Linked DNA regions of Drosophila melanogaster. The protein of the gene in region 2 interacts with the protein of the main gene of each other region in a pairwise test. Each region holds a gene or a part of one and is shown on either strand. Other genes may lie near its edges. The genes, in order: Act87E, Cpn and CG9184.

Region 1 (7,515 bases), 1.3 Mb from region 2:
TCCAATTACATTAAGGCAGTTGTTTGCGCTTTCTTTTCTAATGGGCTTCTTCTTTAGCAACACATATCAGAGTTTTCTGATCAGCACACTGACAACTCCACGTAGTTCCTATCAGATCCACACTCTGCAAGAGATCTATAGCAATAAAATGACCGTGATGGGCACCTCCGAGCATGTCAGACATCTGAACAAGGATGGTGAGGTGAGTTACTATCCCATTTTCGATCATGGAAATTAATGGGAATTCATTTTTAGATCTTCAAGTACATACGCGAAAAGTTTCAGATGTGCTACAATTTAGTGGACTGCCTCAATGATGCAGCTCAAAACGAACATATCGCCGTTGCTGTTTCCAGACAGCACTCTTTTTACAATCCCCGAATCCAACGAGATCGTCTCTACTGCTTCGACCGCCGAGAATCCCTGTATGTCTATTTGGTTACCATGCTACTGCCGAAGAAGTACCATTTGCTGCACCAGATAAACCCGGTGATTCAGCATATCATCGAATCGGGTCACATGCAAAAGTGGGCACGCGATCTGGACATGCGACGCATGATCCACGAGGAGATAACAAGGGTGCGAGAAGATCCTTTCAAGGCTCTCACCTTTGATCAGTTTCGCGGAGCCATCGCATTTTCCGGGGGACTTTTGTTGGTTGCCAGCTGCGTCTTTGCCTTCGAGTTGTGCTACGTTAAATATGTCTATCGCACTGAAAAAAGGGAAAGGAAAACGAAAAAAATCACGAAAAAAGTTCATAATATTAAAATTCAACATGATTAGAAATTGAAGTGGCGAAAATGACTTTGGCATTTCTATGATAATTGACATGCAAAATAAATAAATAATCAAAAATCGAGAAACGGGTATAGCTACTTTACAAAGTAATAACAAAATCATTTCTGCTATAATAAAATCTTAAAAGCCCATATAGCATCTATAGCTGCATATTGTATTCTTTACATTGCACATACATATATATATTGATCACGCATACGCCCTGTATAACCAAACATGTGCATTGAATTAAAGGCATTAAATGCATATTAAATATTAAAAATATCGAAATAATGCTTGAAGAGATTCATAAATATGCTTGCATATTAATATTTTCTTGGCACAATATTCAATTTAAAAATACAGCTTTGCCATACACCGTGTAATGCAGTCTACTTGGCCGCTGCACAGTAAGAAAATGCGTATCATTTTGATTTAGATAATAAAAGGCGAATTTCCCAGATGTCCCAAATGTCAAAATTCATCTAAGCTTGATAATAAATGTTCACTAATTTATATGTAAAGGTTTTTGATTGTTTGCATCGGTACTTGTGGCTGGTAGAGGGTAGAGATAGCTACTTGAGTTTTTCACTGTTGCACAAACTCTTAATATTTTTCCTCGTGTTCCGTACTCATATCCGTAGTAGCATCCGCAGCCGTAGCTGCTGGCGATGCGGCTGGTTGTCAGAAAGGCAAACAAGCGCGCACGCCGCCAACGTCAAGCTGTCGTCGGCATTCTCCTCCGTTGTTTGGCGCATCCTTAAAAGGTGGTGGTGGCCCAATGCTCGACCTGGTATGTTCTTTTTTGTGGTGGCCTGGCTGGTTGGCTGGTGCCTCCTCTTCGGAAGACGCTGCCACAATCAAATATATGTGATTTTCTCAGATTTTTATAAATAATATTTTCAGGCAGCACATTTGTTGCAGTATCATCAAATTGGCAGATTTGTGTTGTTGCTGGCCAACACAATTCAATCAGCTGCTGGGCAGCTAATGTGGGCCGAAAAATTTCACAAAAAAATAATACACAACTGTTAACATATATTCATGTTTATTTTTATATTAATGATGACCAGCTAGGCGTTGTGGCAAACCAAATGAATGGCGCCCAACAAGGCGTTGTGAAAATGTTTGCCGATTACTCAGCTGATAGCGGGGAAAACAGAGTGAATGAACGCATATATACATATGTGGGAAATTCTATATTATTTATGGAAAGTAACATCATTAGTGGGGATCATGGAGATTGAATACAATATTTAATAAAAGTTAAGACATTTCCAGTAGGTACTAGACACGGTACATAATCATTTCTGTCAAGAAATTGTATTTCCTCACCTGTGATAATTGGCCACTCGCATACTTATCTAGATTTAAATATACAAATTTCGTAAGTTCCTTACTAAAAATAGAATTCCAAACTCTAGATACGTTTCTACGCGTAAGCGTCCAAGAATCTCTTGCAAAAACGTGAGAGCGCACGGTTTTCATTTAAATTATTTTTGCTTTCCCCGACTTTTCCATCTCATACACGGTTTTCCCACCCACACCAACACTCTCAACGAATTGAGAGAATATGTGTAGTGTAAACAACAAACGCATTTTTCCGTTTGTTATTATTTTTAAAAATTCTCATAGCACCATATAAGTCTATTAAGAGTTTTGATCATTAACTGAATAGCTTTCAATGATCTCGTTTGTGATTGATGAGTGTGTGCCAAGAAGAAAAACTCGAAGAGAAATGTTAATGGCCAAATAAGTTGGGGCGTATTAATTAATGTCAATTTGGCCAACCGAAAAAATCTGGCAAATCTATAAATGCACTATTCGCTCTATTAACAATTTTCCGTTTGTGTTTATGGCTTTTGGGTCCCTAACCAGCTATCCCCAAAACCAACAACCAACCCACCCACCCAGAAAAACAGCCCACACCCAACAAATTATGGCCGAGAGAATGCGGCGGTATATAAGTTTTGGTTTAGTTTTGAAATTCTTATTTCTAATTGCGAGTGCGTTCTCATCATCGCTGAGAGATTTCCATCGCAACCATGTATGGATTGGGCCAACGTGCAAATGTTGATTAAAAATTAGACAAAACAAAAAACGAACACGCCACCCATACATCTGCAGACACCTCCGCAGCTGCAGACAAAGATATAGCAACAGATACAAATACATATAAAGATAACGATTCGGATTCGGATGGAGAGCAAACATTACGCCTACGATTGGGATGCTCCGATCCGGAGGATCTTCTCGGGTGTGAGTGTCTGTGTGCCATCGCGATGTTGTTTACCAAGGCGCTCAGATCCGTCTGTTTCTCTGTTTCTCAGTCGATATTACACAAAGAGAAAATGTTGAAAGCTGTGACCTAAACATCACCAAGTTCACAAGCCTTTACTTAGCTTTAAACCAAATAATTAAAAGTATTAAATATTTTTCTGGCATATTTACTTAATAATATAATAATAATACTTAAGAAGTAGTTTGTGGTATGATATTTTAATATTAGAAAATCATTACACAATAGAAAATAGGTACAAAATTGATTATTTTCATTCCATCATATGCGCTTTACAAAAATCTATATTTTCTCATAACATATTTTGAGCCATCTTTCCTGCAGTGCACCATCTGGGAAATTATGAACGAAGCGAGCAGAAGTCCAAAAGCAAAAATCCAACGAAAACAAATTATTTTTAAAAGAAACTCAGAATCTCCCCCCGCCGGCGCAATGTGCATCCATGTGCACATGTGTGCCGAGAGGCGATTGAGTGTGCGTGCGGAAAATATCTAAAACGACTGAGGGTCGCCAGAATGGTATAAATATTAGCGCATCTCGGTCCAGCGACCACTCGCAGTTCTACAGCGAAAGTGTTGATTTGGATTTCTAGTTTTTCTTCGTCTAACGGTTAGTATACTCCACATCCACCAATTCCGTCTGTCTGGTTGACTTTTACCCAATCCGATGCTGGATCCAGTGTACAGTGCCCAACTTTCTGAAAAGAAAGATACTTTGGAAAGATAGAGATCTCAACAAACAACATATTTGACAAGGAGCAGAAAAAGTTTAATCAACGATCCTTAAATGTTTGGTTTTTAATAGTGACTAATTTTTGTTTAAAAAAACATTCTTTAAAATGTTAAAACTGAAAAATATTAGTTGTTTGATCTTAAATCAAAAATTATAATTAATTAAAACTTTTATTAAAGTATGTAATATTTTCAAAAGTTGAAGACAGCCCTTTTTTATTAATTTTAATGATTGCTCCTCTGCAAAGATACTCTTTCTTTTAAAGTCATACATGTTCTGAGGCAACACCTACACGTATTTCATAATTTCACACTTACACACAAGATTACAATTAAAATCCATACCCAATCCGAATACCGAAAGCCCACTTCTCACTTCTCCTTCTAAAAACCGCCTCCGTTCTCGTTGTTGTTGCAGTGAAAACAGCCAGTAGCCAAGATGTGTGACGATGAGGTTGCCGCATTGGTCGTGGACAATGGTTCCGGAATGTGCAAGGCAGGATTCGCCGGCGATGATGCGCCCCGCGCCGTCTTCCCCTCGATTGTGGGTCGTCCCCGTCATCAGGGCGTAATGGTGGGCATGGGACAGAAGGACTCCTATGTTGGTGATGAGGCCCAGAGCAAGCGTGGTATCCTCACCCTGAAATACCCCATCGAGCACGGCATCATCACCAACTGGGACGATATGGAGAAGATCTGGCACCACACTTTCTATAACGAGCTGCGCGTCGCCCCCGAGGAACACCCCGTCCTGCTGACCGAGGCCCCCCTGAACCCCAAGGCCAATCGCGAGAAGATGACCCAGATCATGTTCGAGACCTTCAACGCACCCGCCATGTATGTGGCCATCCAGGCTGTGCTCTCGCTGTACGCCTCCGGTCGTACCACCGGTATTGTCCTCGACTCCGGTGACGGTGTCTCCCACACCGTGCCCATCTACGAGGGTTACGCCCTGCCCCACGCCATCCTGCGTCTGGATCTGGCTGGTCGCGATTTGACCGACTACCTGATGAAGATCCTGACCGAGCGCGGTTACTCATTCACCACCACCGCTGAGCGTGAAATCGTTCGCGACATCAAGGAGAAGCTGTGCTATGTTGCCCTGGACTTTGAGCAGGAGATGGCCACCGCCGCCGCCTCCACATCCCTGGAGAAGTCATACGAGCTTCCCGACGGACAGGTGATCACCATCGGCAACGAACGTTTCCGCTGCCCAGAGTCGCTGTTCCAGCCCTCTTTCCTGGGAATGGAATCGTGCGGCATCCACGAGACCGTGTACAACTCGATCATGAAGTGCGATGTGGACATCCGTAAGGATCTGTATGCTAACATCGTCATGTCGGGTGGTACCACCATGTACCCTGGTATTGCCGATCGTATGCAGAAGGAGATCACCGCCCTGGCGCCGTCCACCATCAAGATCAAGATCATTGCCCCACCGGAGCGCAAGTACTCCGTCTGGATCGGTGGCTCCATCCTGGCCTCCCTGTCCACCTTCCAGCAGATGTGGATCTCCAAGCAGGAGTACGACGAGTCCGGCCCAGGAATCGTCCACCGCAAGTGCTTCTAAGCGATCTAAACACCACAGACACTGCAAACCACACGGGCATTGAGACCCAACCACACCACGCCACAGAACACCACACAACAACAACAAGAACAACATGAACAGCAACAACCAAATACCAAATCAAGATCTATAGCCTAGTGCTATTGATGATTAATCTTAAGTTAAAACCTCTTGCTGCCCTGCCATCCAAAGAAAACCGAAGGAACCGCGATTGTAACAGCATGTATTATACTTATATTAATATTTATTGGAGAGCCGCTTGATGGCGCTGAAGGAGGAGTTGAGGAGACACAAGAATGCAAAATTTTACAGTTTTAAAAATAAATTATACTAGCATCCTCTATAAATTAAATCTAAATTTTAAACGAAACGTATCTTTTATTCGCTGCAAGCGGCATGCTATGCGATTATTTTTAGCGACGCACAGGAAATTACGAAATTTTGCACGCCCACTGCAAAGAGCGAAATCTGGAGGTGGATCTCCTCGACTGGGGTGCACATACATATGTACATATGTGGCTGGGGATGAGCACGGTAATCCCAGCATAGACGCCTCCAAGACAGTCCATTTTTGCCCATTGCCAGTCGGTGCAGGAGCTGCCCCCCTCGTCGTGGATCTAAAAATACAGACCAAAGGAAACAACAAAAGCGGCAAATCAACATGCCGAAGTATTAACAAATGTCTTCTAAGACTACAGTCAACCCACAGTAGATTGAACAAATATGTGACTTTGAATGTCAGAATATCAACTTTAAAGGGATTCGAAAATATATATTTTTAAAACTAAACTAATTAGGAATACAAGAGCTCGCTGAAAACAGTCTTCGTTCAAGACCTAGTTAAGTATATTTTAGGTATGTTCCACTGTAACAATGTGTGAGATGGCCGTTTTTTTGGAGTTAACATAGCCGCTGGGAGAAGCGACCGCCGGCTGTCTTTTAAATTGCAGTGCCACGACCTCGGGGGCTGCAAAAATATCTTGGAATTTCAAGTACATTTGTGTGGCTGGTCCGGGACGCTTGTACTTGAAGATCGAGCAGACAGACGACACCAGGCAGATGGGCCTCCTCGGGACTCGGGATTCCTGGAATGGGGTGCCCAAATCGAAAATAGACGAGATACGGGTAGGGTATGTTGTACTGTATACATGATGCATAAATGCACTTTTTATTGAATATTTTATACATTTAAATGCTTCAACATCGTTGCTGTATGCTTAGACAAAAAATAATTGAGTGGATTGCTTGCACTTAACATTTCGTTGGTGTGTGGTAAGTCATTTTTTCGGTTCTGGGACCCCCGGCGGACAATACATTTACAAAAATACTCGCACAATTACATTCAATTCAGCTCATTTCGATTTGTATACTTTCAGTCAATTTTGTGGCTGCAGTTTAAAATTTCGTTGTTCTTAGTGGTCTGCTAGTTGTTAATTGGAATACTGCACATTAAACGGTCCTCACATCTCTTAGCTATAATATAAGCCTAGTATATTAAGCAGAACGCCCAACATCACGTTTTTATTTTCTGTTAAAAATCCAGTCTATACACTTACAGTTAGCGGTTGAATACTTTATTAAGTACACGGTTTAGCACATTTCGTTCCTCGATATCGCATCGGTGTATATGATATATGTAAAGTATATAAATATAGATCATTAAGGCACATTTAGGGACAGTATGCTTTTGATTGGACCTGCTCTCTCATTGTCTTTTTGTCGTTGCTCTCGCTTGGAATGCTTAAAACTCGTCTAAGTTTGTCTACGATAAAATACGAATACGTTACGTCTGCCTAAATTTCCATAGCTACCGATTATAAATTAGAACATTTAGCTTATACGCGGAGTAGGGGTTACTGTTAAACAATAATTACAACTGGGTTGTAATAACGGATTTTCGAATGATGGCCGACTCGCGTCCCTTGGGTGCCGATACCACCTCCGAGGAAACCAGCCAGGGCGATACCATGTCTTTGCTGTTGCTGCTGGACGGAAACGGAATGCGACTGCTGTCCGGATAATTGCTCGGAGTTTTCTGTGCCAAAGATCAAAACGAGTGTTAATACGGCAGGTCAAGTGGGTCAATGGCCTTAAAATGGTTAGTGGAGTGCAGATTGACATGAAAACGAAAAAAGGCG
Region 2 (7,515 bases):
AAGGAGCGGAAAAGCAGTCTTGGGAAAAGGCTGAGAAAAAATGCAATGAAAATTATGTTGAACCAGGCCAGGGATCGTAATTAGTTTACTGCCATTTAACTTGCTACATTAGTTGCAATTACGTTGTAAATATTGTGTATTTATTCCGCAGTTCATTTGAATTTCTTAAACTGCGTTCTGGGGTTTTCCGTTCCTGAATATTTACAAGACGATCTGAAAGGCGTTAAGCATTTCGATTGAATAATGGATTCAATTTTGTCCCATAATTTAAAGCTAGCTATACCTTAAATGTTCTATTAAATTTTATCTTTCTCTGAAAGTTAACATATGAAAATGGAGTATATAAAAAGAAAAATGTAAAATATTTACTAACCATGCCCTCAAATCGTAAGTCTATTAAGCTGACAACTCAACTAGAAAACCCGTTCACATCCTTAAACAGATTAAACACTTATCACCAAGTGCTTTAAGTGTCAAGTCCTTGGAATTTTGCCACTATGGAAATTTTGAAAAATCATTAAAGTGGCTGGAGTATTTCTCAAAAGTTAATTGATCCAAATTGTTGTTTTGTTTTTTGTTTGTTCAATATTTCATATTTTACTTGCCATTGCTGTTGATACAGTGTGTACGTGCGTGCCATTCGATTTGTGTTTGTTATGTGCTTTGCATAATTTAACACTTTGCCTTAAAAACAATCAAATTGTCAAGTGTCAAAAGTTCGTGTCGGCCCAGAATATTCCTCCGCTCAACTGGGCTCTGTTTGTGCTGCCATGTAAATGTAAATAAAAATGCATTAAAAATGTAGCTGTAATTTACACACTCACACTTTCCAGGGAGGTGAAAATAGCCTGAAAAGTGGGTGGGGGTAGCGACCGTAAGTGGGTGCTTGTGTGCAATATTTTGCATTTGCCTGCCAGTTTTTCCGGTTTGCTCTGACCACAAAGTGTTGGCCATTAACCGAGCGCAGTCTGAGCCACCCGCTGGGCCATATCATGTTTATGCCGCACGCTTCGAGAATAAGAATGTTCATGGAAAGTGTCGGATCTACTAGTTTGCACGGAGAAGAGAGAAATGTTTAAACAATAATAATATATATATTTAATGAATATTTTCCTCTTTATTATTTAATTGATTTATAGTTTGCAGCATGCACTCCGCATAAACGCAGTAACAGACACTTTCCCAGGGAAGCGGAAAGGCAGGCTGACGCGTGTTAATTTGAATAAATTATTAAAGCACGTGATGAGCGCGACCTTTCAACCAATTGGGGCAACTACCAGCCATCACCCACACTACCGCCCCCACCAATCCCAATTGGATGGTCGAAAACACACCAACCAGCCCACCCCCCGCAAGCCAAGTGCAATTAAGCACGAAAAAACCAATCAAACTGGAAATAAATTGCGCCATAGTTGCAGCAGCCACACAGCGACCAGGGTTGCCATACGGCGCCGATTTTTGCGAATTTTTTTTGCCTAGCCAGCACTTTGTGTGCCCCTTCTGCGTGTGGGTGTTTTGGGTTTTTTGCGTTCGCCGGGGGTTTCCCTTTTTATTGTGGCCGCTGGGTGAAAATTGTTTGCATTGCATTCTCTGCTGATGCATGCGAATTGAGAAATATTTGCAATTTAGCAAAATACACCCGGAAGCGGCTCCGGATTGAAGCTTGAGCTCCTTTTGCCACATTTCGCAATTTCGATTTTCGCCCCGCATTTGTATTCATATTTGTATTTGGTTTTTCCAATCGCACACGGGCCCGACTTTCCACACTCTTACAGTGCGTGCAAAATGACGGCAATTAGGTGTATACGCTGCGCTGATTTATGTTTTTTTTTTTTTTTTGTAGTTGATCGCCTCACCTTCGAAAATAGCCAGGAATGCAATATCCATTGTTTCAGGGAATGGATTTCATCCGAGTATTGTTTTTCGGTATAAAACATTGTTTGAGAAATATTTGTAAAATATGACAAAAACTTCTATTCTATTGCTGGCAATTACAATTTGAGATCACTCATCAGTGACCACAGATTCGAAGAAAATCAAATGTATTTGTTGAGGTACGCAAACTCCTTCGCAGCTCAGATCAATTGTCGAGTTCAGTGATGCAGGAGGAGATAGAATAAAGTATAAATACAATTTGTATGCTTGATGTAATTTCATTTCCACTTATCTTGGTATTTTCTCTGCATTTTGCTTCATGCGATTGATTTATCGCACAGAAAATAATAGGCAGCCAATGTCTGTGCATCCTGTGAAAGGACTCGCTCTCGGCCTTCCAAGCATTCAATCCCTGAGCCGGGTTCAGTTTATATTCAAATGCTTACGCTTAAATGTCAATAATACGTGAAATTGAACTGCCAATTCAATCTTCACAACTACTCCGCATCGCTCCTCCACTTCTCCAGTGAAATCATTTCCATATAAGCGTTTTCCCATCTCGTCTATTTATATATATGTATGTATTTCTTTTCTTTTCGTTCGCAACTCTTTTTATTTTCCATCCTGCGAGAAAAATTCTTTCTGTTCATATGTGGAAAAACTATTTGCAAAAGTCTCAAGTGTGCTCGGTTCCCGGCCAGCAGAGGGGCAAGTGAGGCGAAGGTGTAGGTGGACGTGTTGGTGTTGGACTTTTTAAAACGACGCCTGCAAATTGTACGCAGATCACATTACACTTGCTCCAACGGACGGCATGTGCAACTGCCGGCTGCCTCTGTGGATTGCTTTACATTTGGCTGCACTTCCTACCCGGCATTCACTCGAAAAATTGAAAGATTTATTTCTTAGTTCTTTGCGATTACATTTCCACCGAGCTAATGTGTTCCGATCCAACGGCTACGTAGTGGCAGTTTGTCAACTGTCATTGCATCAGACATTGAATGGGCCACGATAGCAAATGGATTGTGGAGGGTCGGGTGAGGGCGGGGCAGTGCGGGGCAGCGCGGGAACCTGTCGCATTTTGTTGACAACTACATTGCAAATACGGCAAAGTAATCAGTATTGTGTAAATAACCAGTTATGTGTCTGCGAGTGCAGCTGACAAAGCGAGTGGTAAGCGATATGCACTGGATCGCGAATAAATTCTTGAAAGCGTTTCCCCGATTTATCTACCCGATGCATTTGGCAAGATGCGAACGGAATCGATAATCGAATAATATGCGAATATCACTCATACGCAGTGGTGGGCGCCAACGCATGTAGCACACTTTTCAGCGCCAAATGTTTCCTCGTGCGAGCCGGAACAAATTTAATATGTGGCTAAGGTCAGCTGATAAGCACCTTAGTGTCTGGGAATTGGAAAAACGCAAAAAGCACTTGAAACTATGCGTATACTTTCTGCGCTCAATGGGCAGTTGTCGGACTTCTGACCGAAGGTAAACCAATGAAAAGAGGTAAAAATGTCCAAGAAAACTGAGTCAACGGGCCAGTTAAACACCGTTTTTCTCATCGGCAAGTCGGTCGCTGTTTAAAACTATTCAACAAATTAAATTGGTTAATAATATTGAAAATATTCAAAAGGATTGACTTACCTAAGAGGCAGTTCCTAATAGTTGACCATTTCATTGCTGACCGCTTATTTTCGAATTTTTGAACGAAATTGTGCAAGTGCCTTGTTTTCTCTTACATAATTTAGCAACTACAGTTTTGTAAAAGAAAAATATATTTCGAATAGACGTCAGAAGCAAGAGACTAGTTAACTCAATTGCTCTTACTTTTACTTCTCATGTAGTGAAGACAATTCTAATCTCATTTAATCAATGTAATTTTATTGTATAGATATTTGAATCAGTATTTTCCGGAGAACTTTTATTCTTATTTTTCTCATTCTTACGTGGTTTCTCATCGATTTAATTTTATTTAAGACAATGGCCTAAATCATGGTCAGATCCAGCCTTGCCATGTCTCATGTTTTTCTCGTTTTCATTCCTCTGTTTTCAGTTGTCTTCTGACCATGAAAAGCTGGCCATGAAACATTTTTGCAACTAAGCATTGGACAAGGCACAATCCGCCCAAAAGGAAAAAACGGATTAACTTTTATGTGAAAGTGGGCAAAGGATAGACATGGAACCAGGAACCATTCCATCGCCTGTTTCAGCACCAGTTGCTGCGCCTGTGACGCCATCAGCAGTGGCTGCCCCTGTCCAAGTAGTAAGTCCTGCGGCAGTGGCTCCCGCACCAGCGGCACCGATTGCAGTCACTCCAGTTGCTCCACCGCCCACCCTTGCAAGTGTGCAACCGGCAACAGTTACTATTCCAGCTCCAGCTCCAATTGCTGCCGCATCCGTCGCTCCTGTCGCATCTGTGGCGCCTCCAGTTGTTGCAGCTCCAACTCCGCCGGCAGCAAGTCCAGTTTCAACACCACCCGTTGCTGTTGCTCAGATTCCGGTCGCTGTTTCAGCACCAGTGGCACCTCCCGTTGCTGCAACACCCACTCCTGTTGCCCCAATTCCTGTAGCTGCGCCTGTGATAGCGACACCACCTGTTGCTGCCTCTGCCCCCACTCCGGCTGCCGTGACTCCCGTTGTTTCGCCTGTGATCGCCACACCACCTGTGGTTCCCGCTAACACCACGGTTCCCGTTGCAGCACCTGTAGCTGCTGTACCAGCTGCTGTTCCTGTTGTTGCCCCAGTTCTTGCGCCTGCCGTTGCTCCTGCAGTTGCCCCCGTCGTCGCCGAGACTCCAGCTCCACCACCTGTTGCTGAGATTCCGGTTGCAACCATACCGGAGTGCGTTGCACCTCTCATCCCCGAGGTTTCCGTCGTGGCAACGAAACCACTAGCTGCAGCTGAGCCAGTGGTCGTTGCTCCACCGGCTACTGAAACCCCAGTCGTTGCTCCGGCTGCAGCTTCCCCCCATGTGTCGGTTGCACCAGCTGTGGAGACCGCAGTGGTCGCTCCTGTAAGTGCTTCGACTGAGCCCCCGGTAGCTGCTGCGACTCTAACAACTGCACCAGAAACGCCAGCCCTTGCTCCAGTCGTTGCCGAGTCCCAAGTTGCTGCGAATACTGTTGTAGCTACACCTCCTACTCCAGCCCCAGAGCCAGAAACCATTGCACCACCTGTTGTTGCAGAAACCCCAGAAGTTGCTTCAGTTGCTGTTGCTGAGACAACACCACCCGTTGTACCTCCTGTGGCCGCAGAATCAATACCAGCGCCAGTCGTTGCCACGACACCAGTTCCTGCAACACTAGCAGTAACGGATCCGGATGTCACTGCATCTGCTGTTCCCGAATTACCTCCGGTGATCGCTCCATCACCCGTTCCTAGTGCTGTTGCTGAAACTCCTGTCGACTTAGCGCCACCTGTTCTCCCTCCTGTGGCTGCCGAACCTGTACCAGCTGTAGTGGCTGAAGAAACTCCTGAGACACCAGCACCAGCATCAGCACCAGTGACCATAGCAGCTTTAGATATACCAGAAGTTGCTCCTGTGATCGCCGCACCCTCTGATGCACCTGCTGAAGCTCCGTCTGCCGCTGCTCCCATCGTTTCTACTCCACCAACTACGGCTTCTGTTCCCGAGACCACGGCACCACCTGCGGCAGTGCCTACGGAACCTATCGATGTTTCTGTACTATCAGAAGCTGCCATTGAAACGCCAGTTGCACCGCCTGTCGAAGTTACAACAGAAGTTGCAGTTGCAGACGTTGCTCCACCTGAGGCAGCTGCGGATTTAATAATCGAGCCTGTGGAACCACCAGCTCCTATTCCGGATTTATTAGAACAAACTACATCCGTGCCAGCTGTTGAAGCTGCAGAATCAACATCTTCACCAATACCAGAGACCTCATTACCGCCGCCAAATGAAGCAGTTGCCTCTCCAGAAGTGGCTGTCGCTCCAATTACAGCTCCAGAGCCCATACCTGAACCGGAACCAAGCCTAGCGACCCCTACAGAACCCATACCTGTGGAGGCACCTGTCGTAATCCAGGAAGCAGTGGATGCTGTAGAGGTGCCGGTGACAGAAACTTCAACATCGATTCCAGAAACTACGGTTGAGTATCCTGTAGCCGAAAAAGTCCTGGATCCTGCCATAACTGAAGCTCCTGTCACTACTCAGGAACCAGATGTTGCAAACATTAATGACGGTGCTCCAGCTACCGAAATCACCACACCCGCTGTTGAAATCGTTACTGCTGCTGCAGAAGTATCTGATACTGCCATACCGCTCATTGACCCTCCGGTTCCTCAAGAGATCGCAGTAGCTGAAATTCCAGAGACAGAGACAAAGCCGGCAGAGGTCATTGTTGAACAGAGCACCATCCCAATAGAGGCACCAGTCCCGGAGGTTTCAAAATACGCAGAACCAGTGATTTCTGAAGCTCCAGCTGCCGAAGTACCAATTACGGCCGGGGACAACCCAGACAATACTAGTGTGGGAATATCTGAAGTTGTTCCCACCATTGCAGAGAAAGCAGTTGAAGAGGTTCCCACTTCGGAAATCCCCGAACAATCATCGTCACCCTCAGATTCCGTTCCCGTAGCAAAGATAACTCCTTTGCTAAGAGATCTTCAGACCACCGATGTTTCGCTATTGGCTATTGCAGCCACCCTGGATGCCATTGGAGAAAAGCTAAAGGATCAAAAGGCCAGAAATCAGCAGGTAATGGACAGACTCTGCGAAATCGAGAAAATTCTTGGTCCTCCCAAATCCAATTAGCTCAAGTTTAAAGCCTGGATCATGTAAAGTAAAGCTACTAATAAAGCGTTATTTCACCAATTTTAAAGTATATACAAATTTATTACTAATTTCCTTTTCATAATAGGGTTAAAAGAGCCAAGGTATGGCTAGGTTGTCACAAATTGTTCCGTGCAAAATTAATGCAACCAAAACAAATCTACCATTTCCACTTTTTGGACATATCAGCATAGCTGGTTCCAAAGCCACAGCCACAGAACCTAATTTGCAAGCGCGTCGAAAATTTTCCCGTGGAAATTAGCATTCCAAAAGGGAGTGGGACATAAATACAGACGATTGTAAACGGGGAAAATGAATGAATATTTCCCACACTTTGTCAGCGAAAAAACGACATAAATTAGAGTTACCTCTCTGCTTTTGTATCGAGAAAGCTGGCGACTTCTGATAATTGGAAATTTATCAATGAATAATTTAATTTAAAGCTCCTGCTTACGCTTCCTCAAAAGCTTAAATATAAAGACTATCCCTTATTGATTTCATTTAAAAATGAGCCCATGGAATTTATTTTGATCTGTCCTGACGCAAAAGTCAATCGAGAGTCGTAAAAACGGTCGAAAGGGGCCAAAATGAAAACTTTTATTGCGGCAAACTGAAATTTGTGTTTATGGGGCAAGTAAGTCCGGTTGAGTCAAACACCTTCGGCGATTATTCTAATCATTTGCATTGTTTAAGCTGGTCGGCTATCTCCCAAAGTTTTCCTTTTTTTGTTGGGCTTGTATATGGGCAGAATTCGACAGAACCCAGTTACATGTTCGACAGTTCAATCTAAATCTATCGGCTACCCACACACACAGCACCAAAAAAGCTAAATTCCCATTTGACCAT
Region 3 (7,254 bases), on a different chromosome or scaffold from region 2:
CTTCTTCAAATTATCCACCAACACCAATTCGCTTACAACAAACGTTGTCCAAACGTCACCTTTACCGGGTCAAGCTAACGGTACCCGCATCGGAAAAGAAATTCAAACAGGTAGAGCACTGCGACCACAAAAAAGTAACGACTTCGGGCGACAGTTTGTGAAATTATGGGTACTTAGGCCCCCAGTTTGCAATTACATGTGTGCCATCCTGGTCGCTTGTCCATCTCAAACTTCTTAATTCGCTTTATATGCCGCGAACGAGGCGAGCTGGCCTACAAAATCAATTACCATCGCAACTTTTGCATATCCTGACAGCTAACAAATGTCCGGGCCACAAAATCCAGCGATACCATGCCGCGCACATGAGTGTATAACTCAAAAAAAAAAGTTAGCAAAGAAAAAATACGAAAAAAGCGGTTCTGCCGGTTTGCCCGTGGTCGTGATCTGTGCAGCGTCTTCCGCTGCTTTCTTTCCTTTGCACGATTTGAACTTGGACACCAAACGCAACAAAAGCCACAGCGGCGGCACAAAAGAGCAACAAAAGCAGGAATGCACTGCGAGAAACGTTTCCTCAAGGATTAGTTTAACTCATAAATGCAAATGGTTTACGCAGTTTCTAACTTTCCTAACAACTTTCAATGATAATCAAGGGTGCTTTTTCATGATCGGTTCTTTGAAATAATAAATAATATGGGAAGATGATTCTCCCAGTGCAGCAGCCACCGCAATCGAAGAGATCTGGTTTATTGTGATGCTCCTCTAATAAAGCGAGCGTTTAGGCACCGGCACCTCAATTTCGCCGCTTCGCTCGCTCCTCCGTTCGCTTCCTGGGTCTTCACTCCACACATCGTCTGCGAGGATATTTGTAAACTGGCTGGGGGGGTTCACCTGTCCCTCGCTCCCCGGGGATGAGCTTGTTTGCCCAGGTTTTATAGCAGGAACAAACAGGCGGGGCACACAAAGAGGGTCAACAGGGCGTATGTGTTTGGCTATGGGGGAGACATGAGTAATCGGTGGATATAGCTGGCGGGGATGTATCCCCTTGCTCCGCTTGCCTACTCGCTGACCAATTGAAATTGTATCAAATTTCAATTTCGTTTCCACACTGCGACGGCCCTCCATTAATTTGACCCAGTTTTGAAAACAGCGGCAATAAGCCGCTTAAAAATAACCAACTGCAATGGATCGAAAACGAAACCGAATGATTCGCCAAATCTGGCAGCTGTTCAAATACAAGCTCGCAACAATATAATAATATTGTCAAATACCTACCTGTAGTCTTAAAATATCTGGGATCTGCTCACTTTTAAAGTACTTAATGGTATTGAAGCTAGACTAGAGGCGATTGTAGAACACCTTTTTTCGAGTGCACAAAGCATTGCCCCCAATGTCATTGCCTCACACTTGGCACCCAAAAGAAACGAATTGGAAAACCAAGCGTATCACGAAAACCCGAATTTTGGTAATGATGTAATGCCAACTTTCTGCGAACTAACCGTTTGGCAAACAAACCCAGAGGCCAAGAGAACAAACGAAGAACCGGAGAAGGAAATAAAATTGCACGCCTTTTGGTTCGGGTAATTGCGATATTTATTATCGCCCAGCCTTGTCATGTGCCCATTTGACTCTATGGAGTCCACGGAATATTCGAAATATAGCATAACCTGGTGTCTAGGGGAAACGGCGACCCGCACCCACCTGAAAAAATTTCGAAATCGCGGCCTGATGACAAACTTGAACTTTCTCTTATCGGAATCGGTGGCGTTATCTTCTCGCTGGGTTCAACCAGTTTTACTGATATGATATTGATCGTGTACGCTCTACATATGTACATACAGGGTGCTTTTACCTCTTCTTAGCCAGCTGCATTATGACATTAATTAATGTCTAATAAGATAAGATACGAAAATTAAGTTGAATCGACAAAAGACCACAAGCGATTGTCGTAAACGTCCATCGAAGCACATCGCTTTTCCACGAAAGATGTGGAGGTCTGGTCGACAATTGGTATGCCCTCTTTTATGAATGGGCAGATGTGTCACTTGGAAGAGTAGAGAATGACCTGGTCTTACCTAGTGAATGGATTCATTCAGACATTGTTCTTTAAAGATGTATAAGATACGATCTCTTAAAGAAGTTACGATTCATTTTCACCTTTTAAATTACAAATATTGACGGCATTCTACTATTATCTGTAGTATCCTGGCTGAGAAACTGCTGATCCACCTTAATAAAGCGGTAATTGGCCATGTGGCAATATGCCCCATTCAATCAATTGTATGGCACAAGTACAATTATAGCAAAAATCCCCACTAGTCATAAAGTTCGACTGGCGAGGAACCAAGAACACGGAGCCAGCACTTCCACTCCATTCCATTTCTTTCGACGGAGGAGTGAGCTTGAGTGAGCTCGTGTTGGGATCACCATTACATCGCACCTCGGATTTGCTCAGGTTCGGTAAAGTGCCAAGTAAGGGCTTTTCGTGGAAGCCCCAATCCCAAACTCCAAACTCTTATTCGACGTGAGTACGAGCAAAAAGTCTGTTTTGAAGCGGCCAAAACAGTAGGAAAGGCAAAAACGAAACAAAACGAAACGCTTTTGGGCAGCTCTTTCAGCAGATTTTTTCTTTTTTTTTTGCAATTGGCAGTAAATCGCGTTCAAGATCGGCCTCAGCTGTTGACGCTTTTTATGGCTCGCAGTGAGCTAAGAAAACAGCGGGCCCCAGTGATTGTTTAATACTTAATGGTTATCCGAGACCGAGACCCAGGCACTTGGCATGCGTCACAATGGCGGCGTGATCTCCTCGAGATCTCCTCGTGCCCAGAAGACTCGTCCCTAAAAGCGGGTGACTCAGCAACCGAGCGTCCAGATTCTCTTATATACATATGTATTTGCAACCGGCTCGATAAGTTTGCCCAGTTTGAATTTGAATTTCCAGTCTTTGCGGGTGCGAGAAATGACGATGATGACGATCGTTTGAACGAATTCGATCATCTTTACTCTCGGTCAGCGGCCTCAACTGGGTTCTTTATAATCTAACGATCCATTCAGTTGGATGATCTGGCAAAGCTATTATCAGGGTTTAAGTAATCGTCAATCTCGAGTGGATTAATAGAAACACCTTCTGCCTTTCTCCTTTCTGCAATTCTGTTTCTACTATTATGGGCTTTCAGTTGGACGATTTCTTTAAACATTTATCCAGTCAGAATCGATTAGATATTGAATAGGGCTATAAACTAGAACGCATGCGATGATAAGTAAGAACTACAATGCATCACGCGGTTACTCGGAATATACATGGTACACAATTTATTAAGTTTTAATCAATGATTGGATTAGAGTACTTCAAGCCCTGGCCATTTGGAGTAGGTGATAAAGTGGCACAACGTTAGCGTTGTTCCTGCCGTCGAGGAAGTTCTGGTGGGACAGCACGGCCCTGCCCTGGAAAACGCCAGGAATGGCGGCGGAAGTGAGTCCATCGGCACCGGGAAGTTGGTTATCGACCTCGCCAGCCGTCGAGGAGCGATAGAAGGGATAGTAGGGATAGCCAGAATAGCCGCCAAAGCCGGGATATCCAAAGCCCCCATATCCATAGCCGCCATATCCGCCGTAGTAGTTGTAGCCATTGTAGTAGGGATTGTAGTAGGGTCCCGGCGGAGGAGGAGGTCCTGGCGGCGGTGGTCCGGGCGGAGGGGGTGGCCCCCAAGGACGCTGCGGTGGCGGCGGATAAGCGGGCGGTCCTGGCGACCACTGCGGTGGATAGCCATACTGCCGTGGGTGCTGCTGATCCTCTGGTGGATAATAGTAATGGTGTTGTACTGACGGTTTCGGGGTGGTCGACGGGGCTCCCGAGGCCATCACCAGCTTGATGCCGCCCTTACCAATGGTCTTCAGCAGGTGCTCGTCAATCCCGCGTCCACTTCCCAGCGGATCGTCCAGCACCTGTTGCTGCTTTTCGGTCCTGGCCTGTCCGCTGACCAGGCTCGTCTGCAGTGGCGCCTTCTCCTGGAAACAGAGGCCGCTGACCAGCAGCTGCAGGATAACTGAAAAGGATGTGTCACTCTTTCTAGGCAGCCGATCGTCCGTACTCACCCAAACCAATCGCAGTCACTCTCCGATCCATGATCTCTCTCGGAATAACCTGACCACTCCAGTTGCATTGCCCTTTTATACGCGGTGCATCTGTGATGAGATGTGTGGGATCTCGTTCCCGGTTTCCTCATTAGAATAACCCATGCAGTGGCCCAAATTTGGGATGCCTTTCTTTCTTCTGTGTCCATCTCCATCTCCATCCCCAGCTCCAGCTCCAGCTCGAACTCGATCTCGATCTCGGATCGATCAAGCACCGTTCTAATAACTGCGCTCATTAATTTGCATATGATATAAATGCTTGTAGGGGCTTTGTGGGATCTTTCCACTTCTCATTCCACTTCCATGATCGTTCTGCCAGCCCTGCATTTTTCCAAATGAATTCGAAGAGTTCAATATCCCGCGATATTGCTGCTTGATATATGACGACATTTGAATGCAGATGAAGGTTGGTCATGCCACTGAACAAAAAAATATTCAGCAAAGCTCTTGAGTTGGCAACAAATTTTTTGGAAATATGTGCCCTTGAACTTATTGTATTATCGTTGAGTTTCCGTCTTTAGAACTTATCTTTACTTTTTACGAATGTATTTCTCCATCTCGCTACAAAGCAAATCAGCCTCTGCCTCTTGGTTTCCTATTCTTAATGCTCGACTATTTCTTTCGGTGTGCGATTAATGGGTTAGGAACTTTTTCGTTTGGGTGGGACTCATGGTTTTTGGGTTCCGTTATAGGTCGTGTGTCGTAGACATGTTTACGAGTCGTCTGATACAACAAAATGTGGAGTTCTCTGTTACATCACCCGTTGGAGTATTTCTGGATCGGGAAACCAGTTCCCCACTCTATTAGACCGCTGAATGGGGATTAAAGAAAGAGTGGATCAAGCCGACAAAAGCAACGCCCCCAGGGAACAGAAAGTCAATGACTTCATAGTAGGGAGAAACCGTGTTATTGCAGGGATATTGAGCAAAGTATAATTATAATGACTACACACTCATTAATATTTACAGTTTAATTCATTTTATATCCCCCAGCTAGTTTATCTAATCATGAAAGTATCTGTAGAGGCTTGCCCCGCCACCCAGTCAACTTTGGCAACTCTCTTATCATACAACATATACTCGTGTCAATTGGATCCCAAACAGTTCCATGAGATCTGCACTCACCTGCCCTCCAACTTGTGGATTCCTTAAATAGACGTAGCATAATCTTAGGCGATGGTTGGTTTGTCAAAAGTGCTAAAGTGATTGCAGAATGACTGCAAATGGCTGTGCCCATTGGGTGATGTATTCGTATATGGTTTTCGACATGATCGATATCCACTTCCATCTGCCCTACGTGCAATTAAACAATTATGTGACAAACATCGAATCACGGCGAGCTCGGCTCCAACGACTGGGACGTGTCTGCCGGTCTCTTCGAGAATTCCTGGGAAGTCTTCCCGGCAAACATTTCGCAATTAGTCAGGCATTCGTTCCAGTTCCACACAGCAAATCCCCTTCCAAGTGGCGCAGAGTGGATGGAAACACACAATAGTGGCGGTGGAGGCAATTGCAATCTAGTGTGTGTACTTACAATGTTTTCATTCGGCAATGACTTATTATTTAGCACACTGATAGCTGATAACACAGTGCTAATGTGAGCTGGAGCACTTTTCTGAGTCGGGGTTGTGAGTTTCGAGCTCTGACTCACTCAGAAATGTCCCGAAAGCGCGGCAGTCATCTAGAAATCTTGAAAGCATTAAGTTATAATTTACATTTTGGAGAAGCAAGTTTATGAAATTAGCTAATTGTGGAGCAAGAACTAAGTAAAGGAATTCCTTATGTACATTGAAATCAAATCCTTGATCTTCGCAATAATGGATACTAAGGACTACATAGAGTAAGCAGTGCTAAGATAAAGAAAGTGAATAGATTATAAATCATATAGAATAATTCTTGATTAGTTATCTAAAAACCAAGAAACTGGTTCGCGTAGCTAGGAGGAACCACATTATGAATCAACTGAAAACATTGGGTTGCTCGGAATGATGGGAGATGGGAACGCATATATCTTTAGGATTGACGCATGCGAAAAAGACGTATCGTGATCTCAGGTACTTGGAACTCCGGAATACAGCCGATCCGGAATTCTTTGGTGCGCTGCGTTTCTGTCATGGTCTCCTAAATCGGGTCCCGAGTTTATTCGCGAAAGGCACTATCTAATCGGGGACTGATTGGCGGCATTGCCCTCCTCATCGCAGTCATAGGTATATTATCGTTGATAAATGTGCCGACTAAAAAAAAAGAACAACACAAATTCCGACGAGGCCAATTGATATGTGGAGAGGAGAAGTATTGATGGTTAAAACGCCTCAACTGCCAGCGGATCGGTTTAGTTTGCCAACGGAGCCGTCAAAGGGCGGAATATGCGCGGAATCTGACACATCCTCCAGAGAATCATCAATTGGAGCTATCAGTGGTGTTTGTGCAGTAGTGTTGTGGAACAAGAAGAATCGAACAAACATGGCCAGGTAGAAGAAGCGTGATTTGAAGAGAATCCATCTAGAGATGTGCAATTGTTTACTCAGTGACCTAGTGAAGTGTCCTTGGATAATCCCACAGTTATATGACCAGCATTTCTTAGGAATCTTAGAAATCCTACCAGTCACAAATCCATTGCATAATCGTTTCTTTTATGGTTTTACCCGCCGCGTATCAGCAGAACTGGAGCAGTCGTCCAATAAAGCAAACTCTTACCACTTGCCCACTTCCCTTGGCCCCATGAAATATGGCATTGATAAGGTGAATTGCACCTGCCCACCATTACTTCTATGGATCTATAAATACCCCAGATTGGGTATTTGCATTGGGACTCATATAGAATATTATATTGGATATGTCTGATGAGATCATTTGGAATTGATCAACAATATCCACATTCACGAGTCACTATCATTTGCCTGATTCATTTCCGCAGGACTGTTATAAAATATTGTCGAATAGCGAAAATCTTATCTTTGGGGTTTCGGCTTTCTATGGGGCTTTTCTGAATTGGTTTTCAAGAGGTTTTTCCTAATCAAGGTGGTTAAACATGGCAACCCTTTCAGCTGGGCAGTCCGATTAGGTTCGTCAAAGATAAGACCTATGAAGAGGATTTTCTTAGGAAGTTGAAAAATTAACAATG

The links.
Region 1: the proteins of Cpn (region 2) and Act87E interact in a two-hybrid assay, tested with the Drosophila melanogaster proteins (one large-scale study listed by BioGRID).
Region 3: the proteins of Cpn (region 2) and CG9184 interact in a two-hybrid assay, tested with the Drosophila melanogaster proteins (one large-scale study listed by BioGRID).

What each region holds. Positions count from the first base shown.
Region 1 is NT_033777.3:13,422,358-13,429,872, forward strand, and holds Act87E (actin 87E), read left to right. Parts: upstream 1-3,625; 5' UTR 3,626-3,685; exon of another isoform or gene 3,686-3,821; intron 3,822-4,089; exon of another isoform or gene 4,090-4,225; 5' UTR 4,226-4,246; coding exon 4,247-5,377; 3' UTR 5,378-6,018; downstream 6,019-7,515. Other genes in the region: Ir87a (ionotropic receptor 87a), read left to right, coding at 1-202, 256-783; yrt (yurt), read right to left, coding at 7,248-7,412. UniProt on the Drosophila melanogaster protein: Actins are highly conserved proteins that are involved in various types of cell motility and are ubiquitously expressed in all eukaryotic cells.
Region 2 is NT_033777.3:12,162,092-12,169,606, reverse strand, and holds Cpn (calphotin), read left to right. Parts: upstream 1-3,420; 5' UTR 3,421-3,486; intron 3,487-3,933; 5' UTR 3,934-4,056; coding exon 4,057-6,651; 3' UTR 6,652-6,720; downstream 6,721-7,515. UniProt on the Drosophila melanogaster protein: Plays important roles in both rhabdomere development and in photoreceptor cell survival. Might function as a calcium-sequestering 'sponge' to regulate the amount of free cytoplasmic calcium. It binds 0.3 mole of Ca(2+) per mole of protein.
Region 3 is NT_037436.4:1,318,660-1,325,913, forward strand, and holds CG9184 (uncharacterized protein), read right to left. Parts: upstream 4,148-7,254; 5' UTR 4,124-4,147; coding exon 4,093-4,123; intron 4,044-4,092; coding exon 3,346-4,043; 3' UTR 3,133-3,345; downstream 1-3,132. Other genes in the region: Myo61F (myosin 61F), read left to right, coding at 5,912-5,970.